3 linked regions of the Drosophila melanogaster genome follow. The gene in region 2 interacts genetically with the main gene of each other region. Each region holds a gene or a part of one and is shown on either strand. Other genes may lie near its edges.

The links.
Region 1: of ebd1 (region 2) and ewg, changing one enhances a phenotype caused by changing the other (phenotypic enhancement), as found in Drosophila melanogaster (one study listed by BioGRID).
Region 3: of ebd1 (region 2) and Apc, changing one suppresses a phenotype caused by changing the other (phenotypic suppression), as found in Drosophila melanogaster (2 studies listed by BioGRID).

What each region holds. Positions count from the first base shown.
Region 1 is NC_004354.4:275,992-281,276, reverse strand, and holds the start of ewg (erect wing), read left to right. Parts: upstream 1-1,642; 5' UTR 1,643-2,092; intron 2,093-4,899; exon of another isoform or gene 4,900-5,285. UniProt on the Drosophila melanogaster protein: May function as a positive regulator of transcription in developing and differentiated neurons, regulating common aspects of neuronal differentiation and maintenance. Requirement in the CNS may be higher than in the peripheral system.
Region 2 is NT_037436.4:681,779-687,922, reverse strand, and holds ebd1 (earthbound 1), read left to right. Parts: upstream 1-2,373; 5' UTR 2,374-2,775; coding exon 2,776-2,895; intron 2,896-3,231; coding exon 3,232-4,857; 3' UTR 4,858-5,038; downstream 5,039-6,144. Other genes in the region: hiro (highroad), read left to right, coding at 55-121, 551-1,342, 1,396-1,581, 1,637-1,932; CG3386 (uncharacterized protein), read left to right, coding at 6,137-6,144.
Region 3 is NT_033777.3:28,841,106-28,846,586, forward strand, and holds the start of Apc (APC-like), read right to left. Parts: upstream 3,644-5,481; 5' UTR 3,455-3,643; intron 1,179-3,454; exon of another isoform or gene 1,114-1,178; intron 1-1,113. Other genes in the region: spg (sponge), read left to right, coding at 4,862-4,895.

The DNA of each region.
Region 1 (5,285 bases), on a different chromosome or scaffold from region 2:
ACCGATAAGGCCAGTTCGTGTAGAATTCCGGAAGAATTGCCGATAAGGAATAAGTAGGGCCAAGTTTCAGATAAATCCAAAGCCACTATGGGGAATTTGATTCGTTTTTTGGCATAAATGTGTTTTTAAAAATGTTTCAATTGTTGAACACTTTTTTCTTAACGGATTAAGATCAAGGCTTAAGTTATGTAACGCAAATGTAAATTAATCAATGTTAAAAACCACGTGCCATCGATGACCTTCTTTTTTAGTGCTTACGAAAATTAATTGAGTTTCAAAAAATTTTTGATATGTGTGTTAGTCAATGTTTTAGAGTGATTAATTACCTACTTAGAACACATACGGTTAACGCGACTTTTGCGAATGCTACTTATTGTGACTTTTCGCGAAGATTACATTTTTAGGTAGCAATCAGCAATGCGGCCCTGATAGAAGTGTACGAAATGCGACTCTGAAAGATTTTTTTATCAATAAAAATGTTAAGAGACTTAAGTTTGTACCGATTGTGGACAATCTAAAACATGGTGTAACTCCAATACATTGGTGGATTAGATAGAATATATTGATTTAAAAAAAAAATTTTATGGGAGTGGGCGGGGCACCCACTTTGCCAAAATAATTCTAAATTCATCGTATCTTAAATAGTTTACGAGATATTAATTTATGCCAATAAAACATGTTAAATTCCCCATAGTGCAAGCGCACTACCAGCCTCATTTCACAGCGATAAGCAACTTGTGGTTTCTTTTTATATAATATGAATTCTTTGGTTTTTACATACGGGCAATCTGTGTTAAAAAAAAACAATTCCTTTTATCACTATATACATCCTAATAATGAATTTTATTGTGTGAGTGCCGACGACGGACATAAAAACCCAACATTTTTGGTGGCAAGCAGTTAGTCGTCTTCGGTCGTTCTAGTTTACCAATCCTTCAGGATTTCATATCCCTAAACTATTTTTTTGTTTTTTATTTTTTGTTAAATTTCCCGCGTGTGAAATACGAAGTTGATTGTATGTCAGTTTTTCATTTGGCCTGGCTAGCTTACTCCTTTTTAAATATTGCTAGCTGCCTTGTGAAGGGCTTACGTGTAATTGCAGTTCGACTCCCGAATAATAAATTTTTCGACTGTTTAAAATTTACCATTATTTTGGGGTATCCTAAAAGTTTTGTTACATTAATAACTACATCTGATTAATTCGTGGATCAAATGTTGTATATTCTTTGTAGCGTTCATAATATAAACCTTTAAAAAAAGCTACTAATAAACTGTCTCTTATCAGATACGGAGATGGTGGAGTGCTAGAGAGAAATTTAAAAACTCTTCTAAAAAATAACAAACTAAATAAATATGAAACTATTATAAATATGTGAGTGTAATAGAGGACGTGGCAAGCCCAGGGAACAAATTTTCCCTGCATAGAAAGACTAAAATCTTTTTGGCACCAGAAAACTTAAATTTCTTATATCAAAAATTATTATTATATTATTATATTTATGGATTATTATATGCTTACTCAAAAATATACAATCAATTTTTCAACTAATATAAGTCCGCTAGGGGGACTTGAATTTAAACTTAAATAGCACAATTAGTGGGACCGCCAATCCTCGTTTCTCCTATGCATTTTAGAGTGACCGCTTTCCTTCGACTGCGATATGTATTGCGTGTACATTATCGACGTCTGAAAAAATCACGCGTGCTGTATATCGATATTTGTCATGTACTAAATACCATTCCTCGGCTAAATTAAATCGCAAAATTGCGTCGAAACTTGGGGAAAAGTGCTGGGACAGGCAGCTGAAAACTAAGCTAACGGAAAAGCATCGTGAGGGAAAACAGCGAAACTTTGCGAGCGGGAAATTTTGGAGCTACAACCTAGAAACGGCAGTGCGCAAATGTAAAATGCACGGAATATTCGCATGTGCAGTGTGATAATAAATAAACGCCAAAGAAAATTTTCGGCGCAGGGGCAAACACACCAATGCACAATAGCGGCGGCGCGTTCGTGTGCGTGCGCCTTTTTTTTCTTTGTGAGTGTGTATGTGTGTTATCATAAAGGAGCTGGAAAAACAACAAAAATACACAGGTGCGTATGTGGGTGTAAACTAGTGGTAGGGGTCAACAAATTTTCCGATTTTCCACTGTGACAGTCTATAATTTATATGTGTATATAGAGATTTGTAGTGGCATAAGTGAATGCCCAAAAGTTTCGGAGTTTCTGAGCTAACGGTTCTTGCTGGCTTGTGTGTGTGTATTAGGTTATCATATATGTGTGCTGGTGTATTTAGCTTGTGTTACCGTTACATCGGCGCCGTAAATGAAAATCCAACTGCGAGTGTCCGTAACTTAACCATGCGCCTCAGCTAAAAGTTAAAACAAAGACAGGAAACTCCGATAGGAAGGATGATGTGTAAAGTAGGGTTGTAGAATAGAAACGCCAAACAGGTATCACTTCCAATTGTGTGCACGACAGCACACGCATTTCCCATTTGCATTGGAAGGTATGCGTGTTTTTGATGCATCTGTGTCTGTGTGATTCTGACGTTTTTGGGGTTGCGAAAAACACCCAAACCACCCCCTAGAGACGAAAAATTTGTAGATACACACATGGATAAACAGAGCGGGATGGCTAGCTCACAGCAACCTTCATTGGGTTTTTCCAGTTCCAATAGTGAAGGACGCCACTGTTATAGGTTGTATTGGGGTGGGCTATAAAAGTACAGTTCCAATTGGAACAGGGCAACGGCCAGCCTACAATTACAGATTATATTTGTTACATCTTTTAAATCTAAGGAATAAGAGTATTTTATTTATTTTATGGCCGATTTAAACACATGCCTAACAAAAATAGTTTCTACTCGAGATGAGTTTAAGATAGTCAAGAACATTTAATAGCTCAAACAAATATAAAAATTTAGACATAACAAGAAGATTACATTTTTGCTGGTATTTTCCTGTTTCCCCGACTATAAACTCCTACGAACTCTTACTGTTGGTTGTATATGTACATACATATGTATATTTCTGTCACTGCATTGCTATGAACAGTGGTGGTCTTTGCGCCGACTCCACTGCCGCGACAACCTTCGCATGCGTAACTTGCCTCTCGTTTGTATTTTCGCTGTTATCATTTCATTTTTGTAGAGCTGTGCTGTCCAGCACAGAAAAAAGAGTATGGTGGGAAATTAAGAGAGGGAGAGAGAGAAACAGCAGTACCAAGAAAATTCGATTGTGGGAAAGGGAAAGTAAAAAAACACGGTGGGGTCAATTCTTTGCAGAACATAACAAATTGTCTTATCATAATTTGGTAATTATTGCGGCTGTTAGTCTTGCATGCTTAAAATTATAAAAAAGTGTCTTAAGGTATTTTTAATTTTCCTATATATGTATAGATAGAATAAACGATACTTCGATGTAAACGGCAGTAACTTTTTGGAGTTTACGGAAGCTGGGGTTAAAGAATTTAAATATTCAAAAATAATGAAATATTCACGAATACTAAAAATTGCCTTAAGAATACATATAAAACGCGAAAGCACACATACGCTTACATTAAATAGTAAATTGAGAAAACACCGAATAAGAAGAATTTATGATCGGATACAACAAGAGTATAATTTCTTTTCTAATATTTTGATCAAATTGAAACCGAAATTATGATGTCAAAAACGGCTTTTACGAGTATACGCTTTGTGCGAAATATAAAAACAAACTAGGATTCTTTTTCCTCAATTTCCCTGTGACTTTTCGACTTCTCGATGCAATTACAACCGAAATATATTGAAGTGTATATATGTATATATATATATATATACTTATGTATATATATGTACAGATGTTAAAACAACGATGCTACACTTTTTTAAATTATTTTTTTTTTTATTATTCCGTACCGAATAATATACCATGTGCAAGACAAAGAATACTCTTGGAAAAGGTGCAAGCATATAACATTAAAACTAAGAGAATAATTTTCGTAGACACGTATAGACGGACGTGGCTTTGTCGCCTGTGGTGTTGACACTGATCAAGAATAGTATACATCGCAAATGCCTTCTTTACAGTGTTGCTAACTTCCGACACAAAGTTTAGTTGCGCTTACTGCAACCTGTGGGCATCACTGTGTAGGCCTTAAATCTTAAAGGACTCTAAAATGGCCTACTTCTATAATTAGAAAGAAAACCTGAAGACTACATCCAACAAACGCAGAGCTTTTTAATTTGGCAATACTTTAGGTTCCTTCACACAATTTCATCACCCACCTTTTTCAGAATCCGGATAAGAATGTATATATGTATGTGTCTTAGGGGGTGAACATATACTCTCTCTACTCTTTTCCCCTTTCTCTCATCATCAGATGCCTATTTTGATTACAATCAAGGTTTAGAAGTGTGCTCACTTTTGCTGGGCCACTTTTCTCGATATATGTGTGGCACGCGCAAGTGGGTCGTGCTCACATCCCCTATAAGGACGTGGGAGTTGGTGGTGTTCCCACTGCATTGTTTCGCGGGGGTGATTGGGTAGTTCGAGTAGTGCATGCGTGGTAGTTTAAAAAAGATCCAAGGAAAATAAATAAAAACACTGCATAAGATAGTTTCATCGTGAGGTGCACCTCGAGCTGGGCGAGTTTGCGTGTGTATTCAGTGCGGTGAAAGGTGTGGGATTTAAGGGGTTGGTTTTTTCGGAGCCCGAATCTCTCCTTATACATTCCTATTAGGGGTGTTGATAACAGCTCATATATCTGAGCTCTTCTGGTTTAAAGTAAGGGAGCTTTAATGGAGACACAGTAGTGCACGTTTAACCGAAGTTATAAGAACATTCAAGTAATAACATTCATAACACATAAATAAAGTGGTATTTTTAATAAAGCCCCTGGACAGAGAAAGACGGCGAGAATTCCATATACCCATTTCAAGCAGCAATATTGACGCATGGGCGCCGTATTGATTTTTTACTGCGTCGACGTCGGAATCACTCCATGGGGTGGTTTGTCGTTCTTTCTCTTTTCTGCCAGATAGTGCCTTCTCTTGCTATCAGCTAGCACCCTCTCTTTCTGCCGCCGCGTTGCCGTCGTTGGATTTTGAGTTTCTGAGCAAACGCAAATAGAACTTGAGCACAGAGAGCGACTAAAAGCAGTGTTGTGCGGTTCGTTAGCGGCCCTTATCTCGTTCCAAAAATTACTCATTTTATTTTTTGTACTACAAAAAGTGTGTGCCAAAAGTTAAGAGTTGACTTAGGATATAAAAATAACCAAAATTGAACAGAAAATTAACTAGAGA
Region 2 (6,144 bases):
CGGTTGTCTCTCGATCGGTGTCTCTTGGAATTGGAACTGAAACACTGGTGCAACATGGCTGGACGCGCTATCATCGCACTTTTGGCCCTACTGGGATTTGCCGGCTTGGCTTCCGTTGACGGTGAGAATCGTGATTTGTATTCCAATTAGGGGTGCTAATCAGTGAGAAAGTGTTCCAAAACAAACGGTTCTTTACGACTTGTAGAACAGGCCAACAGAATTATCTGTTACAGACTTTTTTACCTACTTTTATATCCGTAGATTGAAATACTTATGAATCGTTTGGGGACAGACCTTATTACCATTGTAAAAGATACAGTGACCAACCGCTATTCGGTTTGTTATAAGACAATACAATCAACTATCTACACTATCTATAACAATTAATCTTATCTAAATGGCTACTCGTGCAGCCGTTTAATATACTTAAAGGCTAGATTTCTCAAGTGTTCCCTAGAAATCAGGGGCTATCATGAAATTACAAAATCAAAGAGCTTTGTATATTAATAACTATTTAATCGAAATGAGCTATAATTCAATATACTCTCAGCACGCAAGGGCTATGGACCCGGTGATCAGGATTGGGGATTTGTGGATGTCAGGACTGGCGCCCACATGTTCTACTGGCTGTACTACACCACCGCCAATGTCTCCAGTTACACGGAGCGTCCGCTGGCCATTTGGCTCCAAGGAGGTCCAGGTGCCTCCTCAACGGGATACGGAAACTTTGAGGAGTTGGGTCCCCTGAAGCTCGACGGCAGCTACCGCGACTGGACTTGGGTGAAGGACATGAACGTGATGTTCATCGACAATCCCGTGGGCAGTGGTTTCAGCTACGTGGACGGATCTTCTTACTACACGACCAACAACAAGCAGATCGCCCTGGATCTCGTTGAGCTGATGAAGGGCTTCTACACAAACCACCCGGAATTCAAGACTGTGCCGCTGCACATCTTCTGCGAGAGTTATGGCGGAAAGATGGCCCCGGAGTTCGCTTTGGAGTTGGATTACGCCATCAAGCGCGGTGAGATCGAGAGCAACTTTGTTTCGGTGGCCTTGGGAGATCCCTGGACCTCACCCATAGACTCTGTGCTCTCGTGGGCTCCCTTCCTGCTGCAGTTGGGAATCGTGGATCAGGATGGCCATGACAAGATTGAAGCTTCGGCCCTGAAGACTAAGGACTATGTTGACCGCGAGAAGTGGACACAGGCCACTTTGCAGTGGAGCTCCACCCAGTCAGTGGTGCTGCGCGAGTCCAAGGGAGTGGACTTCTATAACGTGGAGACCCCAACATTGGGTGATCAGTACAGGTTGATGTCCAGAGCTGCCATGACTCCGGAGGGTAAGATCCGTTGCGTAACTTACCGAGCTGATTCTCATCAACCACTTATCCAGAGGTCATGTATCGCACCCTCGTGAAATTCGATGTGGATGAGGACCGCGACAAATTGCTGGAGGATCTAATGCTTGGACCCGTGACCGAGGCCCTCGGAATCAACACCGGAGTGAAATGGGGCGCCCAGAGCGGCACCACCTTCACCAAGCTGATGGGCGATTTCATGAAGCCAGCTGTGGATGTTGGTATGTTTCAACCGTCTGGGTGCTACCTCAAATTATAGCCTTATGACACTTTTAGTGGGTGAACTGCTGAACAACACCACCGTAAAAGTGGGCGTGTTCTCCGGAGGACTGGACCTGATTTGCGCCACTCCGGGAGCCGTCAACTGGATCGAAGCAATGGAATGGTCCGCCAAGCCATCTTACCAGGTCTCTCCGCGCGTGGGAATCACCGTAGATCGAGTTCTCGAGGGTTACGAGAAGACCTATGGCAACTTCAGCATGTTTTGGGTCAACCGGGCTGGTCACATGGTTCCTGCCGATAATCCCGCGGCCATGTCGCACATCCTGCGACACTTCACCAAATTCGGTTAAACAAATTAGCCGGAGAAAAGCGTTAAAATAAAGATTATTTTCGAAATGTATGGACTCGTGGGTTTCCAATTGGTGGTGGTTCGATTAATTTAAATTAAATATTGATTACAATTCGCAAAGACTTTATAGTTATATTTTACAGTGCAGTTAGTTGCAGATCTTGTGAAATCAATTCATTCTTAAACTGAAAACAAAATACATACATACATATGTATGTTCTCATTAATCTTACTCTACTTAAAAAGCGATCGCCTGCAGAGTTGCCACATGGCGAAAGTAACAGTAAAGTTGTCGCATGCGCAGTTGCACCCTCTCAGCTGGTCACACGCACACACACTCTCGCACACGCCGACTTCCCTTCCGTTCTAGTTGCCCACGTTGCGCATGCGAGAGCGAGAGAGGGAGCGAGCAGAGAATGAAAACTGCGCGAGATAACGCGGCAGCTATTTTTGTATGGGTCGTCGTCTAGTTCGCACGGACATCGGAAAATACGCAAGGTGCAGCGCACGGCCAGTTGGAAAATCACAATCAGAAGACAAATCGAGTGCCTAGGAAGAGAAAACGAAAGCGAATAGAGCCAAAGCGCATTGAAAGGCCAAAGAAAAGCGAGAAAAGCAGTGACGAAATGATTTGAATTCGCTTGACAGTCAACGCGCATAATCGTAGCCATCGCACACACACAGCCGCACGGACACACACACACAGGCGGGCGGGTGTGTGAGTGAGAGAGCAGAAAGGGTGCAAGGGGTGGGCGAAATTGAGTGGGCGCAGCAGCAGCAACAAAAACAAACAAGACGAAAACAAACGGCAATTGCCGTGTAAATTGCACGGAAAGCACAAACAATGCGGATACGCGAAAAACGCAAGTTGCAGAGGGAGCTGAGGGTGGAGAAGCGCGTGGAGAGGGAGAAAAAGGAGCACAAGGAGGCCTCCAAGACGCAGGACAACAACAACAAGGCGAAGGTAAGTGGCCACAGTCAAGCCTCGCAAAGTGTTTCCACCCCATTTCACTTCTCAAAGAACACGAGTGTAAATGACTTGATCTAGGCGTTTATTTGTATATAAGCTTGAATGAGTATGAGTATAAAAGCCCCATGTATTCCTTGAAACTTCGTCTTTCTTAACTGTTGCTTTTGTTAACATAACTAAATATGCAAAGACCTTCTGTTGTTTTGTCTACATTATTCATGTTCAGAGGGAGCACTGTATCTCTACATTCATGGTGGCATTACTTTGCACGATTTCAACTGTTACCATAAAACCCGGTAATAACAGCACTTTTTTTCCCTTCGTCGTTAGGCCACTGACACGGAGGTTCTCACACCAGCTCCTGCGCCTGCGCCTGCTCCACCAGCAGCACCCACTTCGACTGCATCACCCACACCCACTAGCACGCACACCCCCAGCCTGCCGGCCGCCGAGAAGGTGGCCTTCGACAATCGCATCAAGCGCAAGAATGTCCTGGCCCTCAACGAAAAGGTTGCTGCTCTGCGGGAATACGATCGGCTGCCGGTTTATAAGCACGTTGGCCGGCTGTTCAACTGCAGCCCAGATCAGATCAAGCGGATCGTGCAGCAGCGCGCTGAGATTCTGAACGCGTGGGATCAGCGAACCCGCAGGAGCCAGGACGCCAAGACCATGGAGACGAAGACCGTCAGGGTCTCGATGTTGGGCAAGGCCGTGTACGATTGGATACGCCGCATGATGTACTACAAGGACTTCAGCATCTCCGACGGACTCATCCAGAAGATGGCGCTGCAGTTCAAGAGCTCCATGAACCTGGCACATTTCTTTCCGCACCAGGAGTGGTGCGACAAGTTCAGACGCACCTACAGCATCCAACACAGCGACACCAGACTGTTGAAGATAGGCTACACGCAGGGCTACTCGGTGCAGATCAAGGACATCGTCAAGGACGTCATGTCGGAAAGCATGCCGGAAAGTGGGCCACGGAACGGCGAGGAGGATGACGAAGAGGTCAGCTTGGGCAGCCCGGTGAGCAGCCATCCCCGCAGCTATGTAGAAGACGAGGATGACGAGGTGGATGTCGACGGTGGCGGTATTAGCGGCGAGGATGATCTGGAGGAGGAGCCTGATGTCAAGCCCTCACTAAGCGAACTAAATTTTGCCAGGGCTCTGAAGCCCTTGCCGCCTCTAGTTAGACTGCCCCTCCAAGCTAACACACCGCCAGGCACCACTCAAAAAGTTCTCCTGGCCACACCCATTGTTCCGACGCAAGCGGGCGGACAGCCCATGACCATGACCATCATACCACTAGCCACGCTCGCTCAGAGCATCACCAAGATTCCTGCCCCACAGCAGCAGGACAAAGGACCGGTGGTACCGCCGCCCAAACTAGAGATCAAGCAGGAAAAGGAAATCAAAGTGGAGCCCAAGGACCCGGAAGAGCTCCTGGCGAAGCAGCCCGAGGCGGAGCTCCAGGAGAACGATGACCGAGCACAAAGGGAAAAGGATCTTGAAATTCCGCCTACAGTGCACATAAAAGTGGAGCCAGAGGCTGAGCTGGAATCGGAACTGGACCAAGACCCAGCGGATCTCGATGAAGACGCGAACAATGGTCGCTCCAGTGTCACCTCGCTGGCCGAGGTTCTGGCGGCCAATGTGGAGGACGAGATGGAGTACATCGAGCAGATGCGGCAGCGAAAGGTGAGTTCGCCTGCGGCAGTTGAAAACTCGCTGAATCCTCGCCAGGGCACCAAACGTCGCTATGAGTCCGCCCAAGACGATAACAACAATGGGGGATCCGGCCAAGAAAGTGGGTCCAGTGTCATCAGCTGCGCCGATGCACGCAAGTACCTAAAGCTACTCGAGGAGTTTGCTCTGTACAAGGAGAACTACCGGCTGATTGAGCTGATCACACGAGCCGATGAAGTGATGCGCGAAATGGATGACAATGTGCCGTAGAATGCTCCAAACAGTGAGCGCCACATGAAGGAGAACGAAGAGGAGGAGGAATAGCTGCAGCCAAAGAGTGTAATCTTTGCAAACTGATGCATCTAGAAGATGCACATCGGTCGGATGCAATCAATCATTAGATCTAAGGTGAACATAATTTGTATTCGAACCAAATAAACGCAATCAAACCAAGTTTCTAGTGAGTAAATTTGATGTGGTTATAAAATATTGTGATGAATGAGCTAATGTCAATTGTCAATTGGTCTGTTGGAACTATTTTATACTATGCTCCCGACTGTAACCCTATTATTTTGACCTGTGTTGTATGTTATAACAGCTACATTTCCTTCCACACATTCTCGCCAGAACAAAAAGTCGGCTAAATATACGCGCTAATTGTTTTTTTTTCGAAGTGCGCATGTCTGCCCTTAGTTGGGCTTCTTCTTCTTTTTTTGCCGGGCGGGAGGTCACCCACACACACACACACAGGCGAGCCAGAAGAGAGAAAGAGACAAAGCGCATGTAAATGAAAATAACGGAACAAAGAGGTCAATCATTGAATTCTATCTTGTTAAAGAGAGAATTTCCCTGATTCAGAGTGTATTTTAAAATTTTCCCTGATCAGTGTGAAATTTTGGAGAGCGAGTTAAAATAAATTCATACTTTGCTGATGATTTCCTTATGCCGACAATCTTGATTGGGGCTAAGATGGGTAAGTGCGCAGGTCTGCCCTTAGTTAAAGTCTGAATATTTGCTGCTTTCCTCTCCCGCACACACGTGCACCTAAATTGCGGGGGAGCTGTAAGTCATTGTTTAATCCATATAATTAAAACTAATACAATAAGAAAATCGGATTCAGCTACGTTTTTGTTTTCAAGCAGTATGTGGGAATCAAATGATTTATTGTGCATTTCCACACGCACACATGCACATGCCCATCGGGTCAGTCGGCTAATCAATCACTCAATCGAGACACATGCACACACACCCGCCCGTTTCGGCTCTACATCAATTCAGTTTGTGATTGTCGCTTGAGGAGAGCATAACGCCGGTCGTCAGGTGGTGGAAATAAGTTTATACATATATGAGCATCCAGATCCAGAGCAACTACAACAATCAGTGGGAGTATGTGAGGTGTTTACCAACACTAGACGCTAGAAGTGGCAACTCTGGCCAACTGTAATCAACAACAGCTGATTGGCTTGAACAACAGAAAAAGTAAATATTTATGTTTATATGCCAATGGATATGGTAATTAAATGTATCTTTCTGAATGCTGTGCTGGCAGATGGCAGC
Region 3 (5,481 bases), on a different chromosome or scaffold from region 2:
AATGTAAAAAGGCATAGGCGTGTGTCTCGAAAAAGATGATATTGAATGTATATATTTCTTTTTTCTTAACACTCATTCGAAGCTCAACTTAATTATAGTTTATTTAACTGAGGAAAGTTAAAACAGCAAGTTAAGCATGGGAAAATATTGGCAGTCGTCAGTTTAGTGCCTACACTTAACTCATCATGAGCATATGACTCGCTTTATGATCGATGGAAACTATGTATGTCAGCTTTATGATATGAAAATCCAGCCAAGATAAATGCTATCTTAAGCGGTGAAGTCATTGCGCCAAATTTTAAGGAAATGATCCAAAGCCTCAAGTTTCTTGTAGTTCTTGTTGTTTTATTTTAGAACACCACATAAAATATAAAAGCGAAATATATAAATTCATCTTAATGGGAAACCAATTTAATAGCTTTTCACTTTTTAATTGGCCGACCCCTATCTATCTATAAGGTTGCTCGGTAGGATCGACTTTCTAAGCAGATGCTTGGATGCTGTTGTATCCCAGAAGAATTCGCCTATTGTGGCAGGTTCTGTGCATTGCCTGCTCTATCGCTCTGTAACTTAATCATCGGCCAACATTCAGGTGGCGGCAGCCACAATAGCAAATGAGCAGCTAAGTCATTATCATGATTAGCTGGCGCTGCATCTTTTTAGAAAGTTAGCGGCACACGGCGTCGTCTTTGCGGAATTTCCAGTGCATGAAGAAAGATACAGATGCGTTTTCAGCAGATATATTATATTGCCTCGGCTCTCATTGTTGTTGCTACACACACTCCATAAGCACAAGACATATTTCTCATTTGAGCTACCGTTGAATTATGTGCAAATGCAATTTGGTGCTGCACTTCTTTTTTTTCAGCTGTTATTGTAGCGTAAAATTGAGCGTGGACGGACAGAAGTGCATAAATATGTATGTACACAGAGAGAAAATAACGTAACTAACGTAAGGTCACTATTAAGTTATTTACACAACTTTAATCAAGGGTCAAATAAATCCTTGGGGTTCTTAAATCAATCTACAAAGTGTCTTAAAGTATGGCACAATTTATTTACTGCATAATTTTAGATATCGAATGAAAAGGAATATAACAAATGATTTGATACCTTGTATTTTCAAGCATTTTTTCACTGTGTACCCAATCCAATTCAAGACTTCAAGTGGATTGAGTTTGGGATTGGGAATGACCCGGGTCGTGTACCAGTTCTGGCTCCGCACAAGTCGACTTGTTCAAGCTCCAATTGGCAAATTAATCAAATTTTAATTGCGACCAGCGTAAAGAGCGAAAACAGCCGGCGAACGAAAAGTGGTAACCGCAATTTGAGTGGCTGTGAAATGCAAATCGCTTGTGTAACAGCGGAAATGCATCCATCCATCCAAGCCACTCGATTGGAATGCCGCACTGGACACAGTGGCCATCGTTCATCATTGCCGATCGATTGTTTGCCTAGGCCTCAAATATATAAAATATGTGATCAGCCGGCACTATCACCGCCTTGATAAGGCACACAGTTCGGCTCCACCGATTAACATTTAGCAAGAGTCACGATATCAGTGCTCTCGAGGCCAAGAATTCGAAAGACGAACAGAGCAGAGTAGAGCGATTCGATGAATCAACGATCCGCGAATTAGACAAACACAAGTATCTAGATACGACATAGATACTTTTAGTACCCCAAAGAATGCGAGAATATGCGTCACTTGTCTAGCCAAGAGCCGTGTACCCGGTCCCCCAGAGACGACTCCTCGTGTCATTAACCGGCCAGCGAGTCGCACAAGGGAATCAGCCCTGCACAATGGACACAATTCGACTCCAAGCGTTTCGAGTCAACTGTATTGGGAAACTAAATTGGTTCGCATAGTTAGCGAAAACAGAAACAACCCCACGCTTTGAAATAAAATACAAGTGCCATAGTTTAGCGGATAGAAAGTGAATCAGACTGACAAACTTTTAGTCACCCAGTTTCTATTTCTTTCAGAGATAACGAGATTTCAAAAACAAATGTGACTTATTGCTTGAATAACACTTGCTTAGTAAGACTTACTAAGCACTTACTTAAACTGATAGGTGTAAAAGAATAAATAAAAGTGTTTATTTGATAATTGTATATCCAAATATTTGCATAATTAAATGAATTATGAGAATGAACAATTCCATTTTTGGTAATATGCATATAAATTAAGCATTTGTGTAGCATGGGTGGATCAGATTTGGATTTTGAAAGATAAAGCTTCATCACCTTATAGAGGGTAAGGTCTTAAAAGTTATTTTAAACCGACATATGAATACCTAATTTGGAAAGTGTAATTTGTTGTGATAAAATGAATACTAGGTTGAAATATTTGAAAGAGGGAAATATTTTTTTTGGCAGATTGATGATCTGAAGGGTGGTTTTCGTCACACCCTCCCCTAAAAATGGTACAATTACAATTACAATTAGAAGGGAATAGCAAAAATAAAAAATATTTCTCCAATAAGTGAATTCCCATTAAGCTAATAACCAATTTTGCCACCACATCGCCCCATCCCACCCACTGTGCGGTTTTTTGGCTTGGCACACATTTTGCATACGAAATATTCGCGGCAGAATTATCAAAGAAAAAAGAATGGAAGATTTGCGGGGGAAGGAAAAGCGGTAAAGATGATGACACCGCGAGCCATCAAACCACAGGGAAATGTACGCAAAAACATTAAATAATGAAACTACATACTAACTACTGTACATATGTACATATGTATGTACTTATGATTTCTGTGTGTGCATTTATGAGCTGGTTTAATGAACGCCACTTTTGTTTTGCTGCCCGGTTGTTTTGTGTCTTTGCCGCCGCGAGATGATGATTATGTAAATTGTAGAAAAGTAAAAGGGAAACTAAATACGAGCGCATGCAGTGTGGAATTGTGTTTTCCTTTTCTCCCATGTTTGTGGGCATGTAAGACAATCGAGCGTGCCGATATTAACGTATTTTCCTTAATGCGGTGATTAATTATGCTGAGGTGAAGTTGAATGGAAGTGCTCGAAAATAGTTATCAATTAGGCGTGCCACAATCACTTGCAGCTGTTGGAAAACTAAAACGAAAACAACAACAACGAAACAAACGAAACACACTGCGTTTTCCAACTGATAAAGGAGCACTCACACACATAGACACACACATGCACGCACTTTGCACACCCACACTAGGGCGCAGTCGCGTTCTGATTGGGACCTTTATTGATTTTTCCTGTAAAAGGAATCGGCAGGAGAACAGGAAACTACTAAAGAGTATCTCATGCTCCAAGTTGAGCTAAACACATTTGTATTCGCCAGCTGTATATGGTGCGCATTTATTGAGTAAACATTCTGCGTTTTATTGTCAGGCCCAAAAAGAACAATTCCAATTGGAAGAGTCAGCGACTATACTCCCACACACACACGAACCCAGAGATTCTCCGATTGGCGTACCTTGACTAAAAACACAATTTCTCGGCAGCTTCCTCGCCCACCAGATGACACATTTCCCGCTTTATCACTTGTTTGCCCACAGATATTGCCACTATTTGGATTCTTGGCTTGTTTCGCGACAAAACAAATACGCAGCGCGGCCGAAATTCCGAGTCCGCTTATCAACAAAAATTGCGACCAACCGCGGCGAGCAGTGTGACTGTTATATCGAGAATTCGAAAAACCAACAAGAAATAGCTGCTAGGGATGGGAGAATGTAGCGATATCTTGGGATCATATATATCGCTTGAATATTTACTTCGTTCGTAATATATTTATACTGCAATTTATTTTCTAACCTTAAAGATTTAGTGCTTATATTTTATTCATTATATATCTCGGTTAAGTAATACGTACACCGTTAATTTAAAAGAAAAAATTTAAAAAAAAATGGGATAGAGTTAATGGGGCCGAGTCAGACCAACGCTATGGACTGCATATTAAAACGGATTTGGTATTGTTTTGTTTGTTAAATTATTGAATACATTGAATGAATGTGCCTCCAAAACTGTAACTGCGAATTGGTTCGGGTCTTAGCTAGACCATAAATACCGGTGTGACCGTCACCGCTAAAATGAAAATTCCCTCAAAAATGCAATAGTAAATAATCCATCGCTTAGCAACTGGCCACACTGCAACGTATATAAGCCGACGAATCCCGAATTTTGTTGTTGTTCTTCAAACAGCTGAGCGGCGGACGGATATTTGTTGTTGCTGCGCCCGGGAAGCTGCGCAGCGGAGAACGCGAAAAATAATAAAACGCAAAAAATAGCGAAAATTAAACGCGTTGCAAGTGCAGCAGAAAACAACGGTAATAATTCGCGAAGCCAAGGGACAAGCAATTTAAATTGCGCACAGTGTAGAAATCCAATTGGAAGTTCGGCTGGGAGTCCCAAATTCGTATTGATTTTCTTGTTTGTGTGTGCGCGGGTCCGTGAAAAAGGCAACAAAAGCAAAGCCACCACTTCCAGACTTCCCAATCAGCCACTTCCTTTTCTTCCACCTAGCGGTAATCATTGCCAATTGGAACCGCGATCGTTGCCTTCCAGCGACAACAACAATGTAGCAAGTGTATTTTCTGCTTGTAGTTGTAGTTATTAAACAAGATAAAGTGCGAGAAAGAGAAGGAGATAGACAACAACAAAAGCGAAAGTTTTATTGAGTGCGTAGATGTGTACGAGTGTGTATGTGTGCTATTGCGAAAAATTGTTGATAAATATTGGCCGTTATAAATGCGAATTCAAATGCAGATATTTGCCGATGAAAAGGGTGTTTCCTCAAAAAACCGTTGATTAATTATAAATGCAAGGAGTGGCCGGCTAAGTTGGATTTTTTCGGCTTAACTTGCAGCGAAGCAGCAGCGACAAAATGTGGATACCTTCGAACAACAAATACGGAGTTGGTGAGTAAATAATAAGAGTAGGCGGTGTGCCACCCACTTTTCCAAGCTACCCACCACCCCCCGCTGGGCGTCACGTGCGCGGCCTTTGTTTTTATTGCTGCCTTTTGCGGCGATTCACGCGTTTTTCCGCGAAACGCCGGATACCATGCCAACCACCCCCGCACGTTACCGAGCGGGGAGGAAAAGCGACTTTTCTACTTATTTTTGTACACAAACTGTTTGTAGCATCATCATCCCCCAGTTCACCGCACCGCCCCCCCCCCCTTTCCATGCAGCGTGTAGTGTATCTCAAAGAGATTTCCCTGTTTGTTGTTGCTGCCGCTGCGCTGCGATTTGATGTGTTTATACACACAGTTTTCCGCGCGCTCAGTTTTCCCGCACAGCGCTCGGCTGTCGCGTTGCCAATTTCCCCCCAGCCCAGGTGTTGCCAATTTAAATGCTTTCGTAATTACGAACACCTAAAAAAATGTTTATTTCGCAGACAAAATATATATTTGTCCAAGTTCATATGGTTGATTTTGATTTGAAACGTTTCTCTGATTCTGATCTGAAAATAACTACATCTTAATTATATTTCCTAGTATGC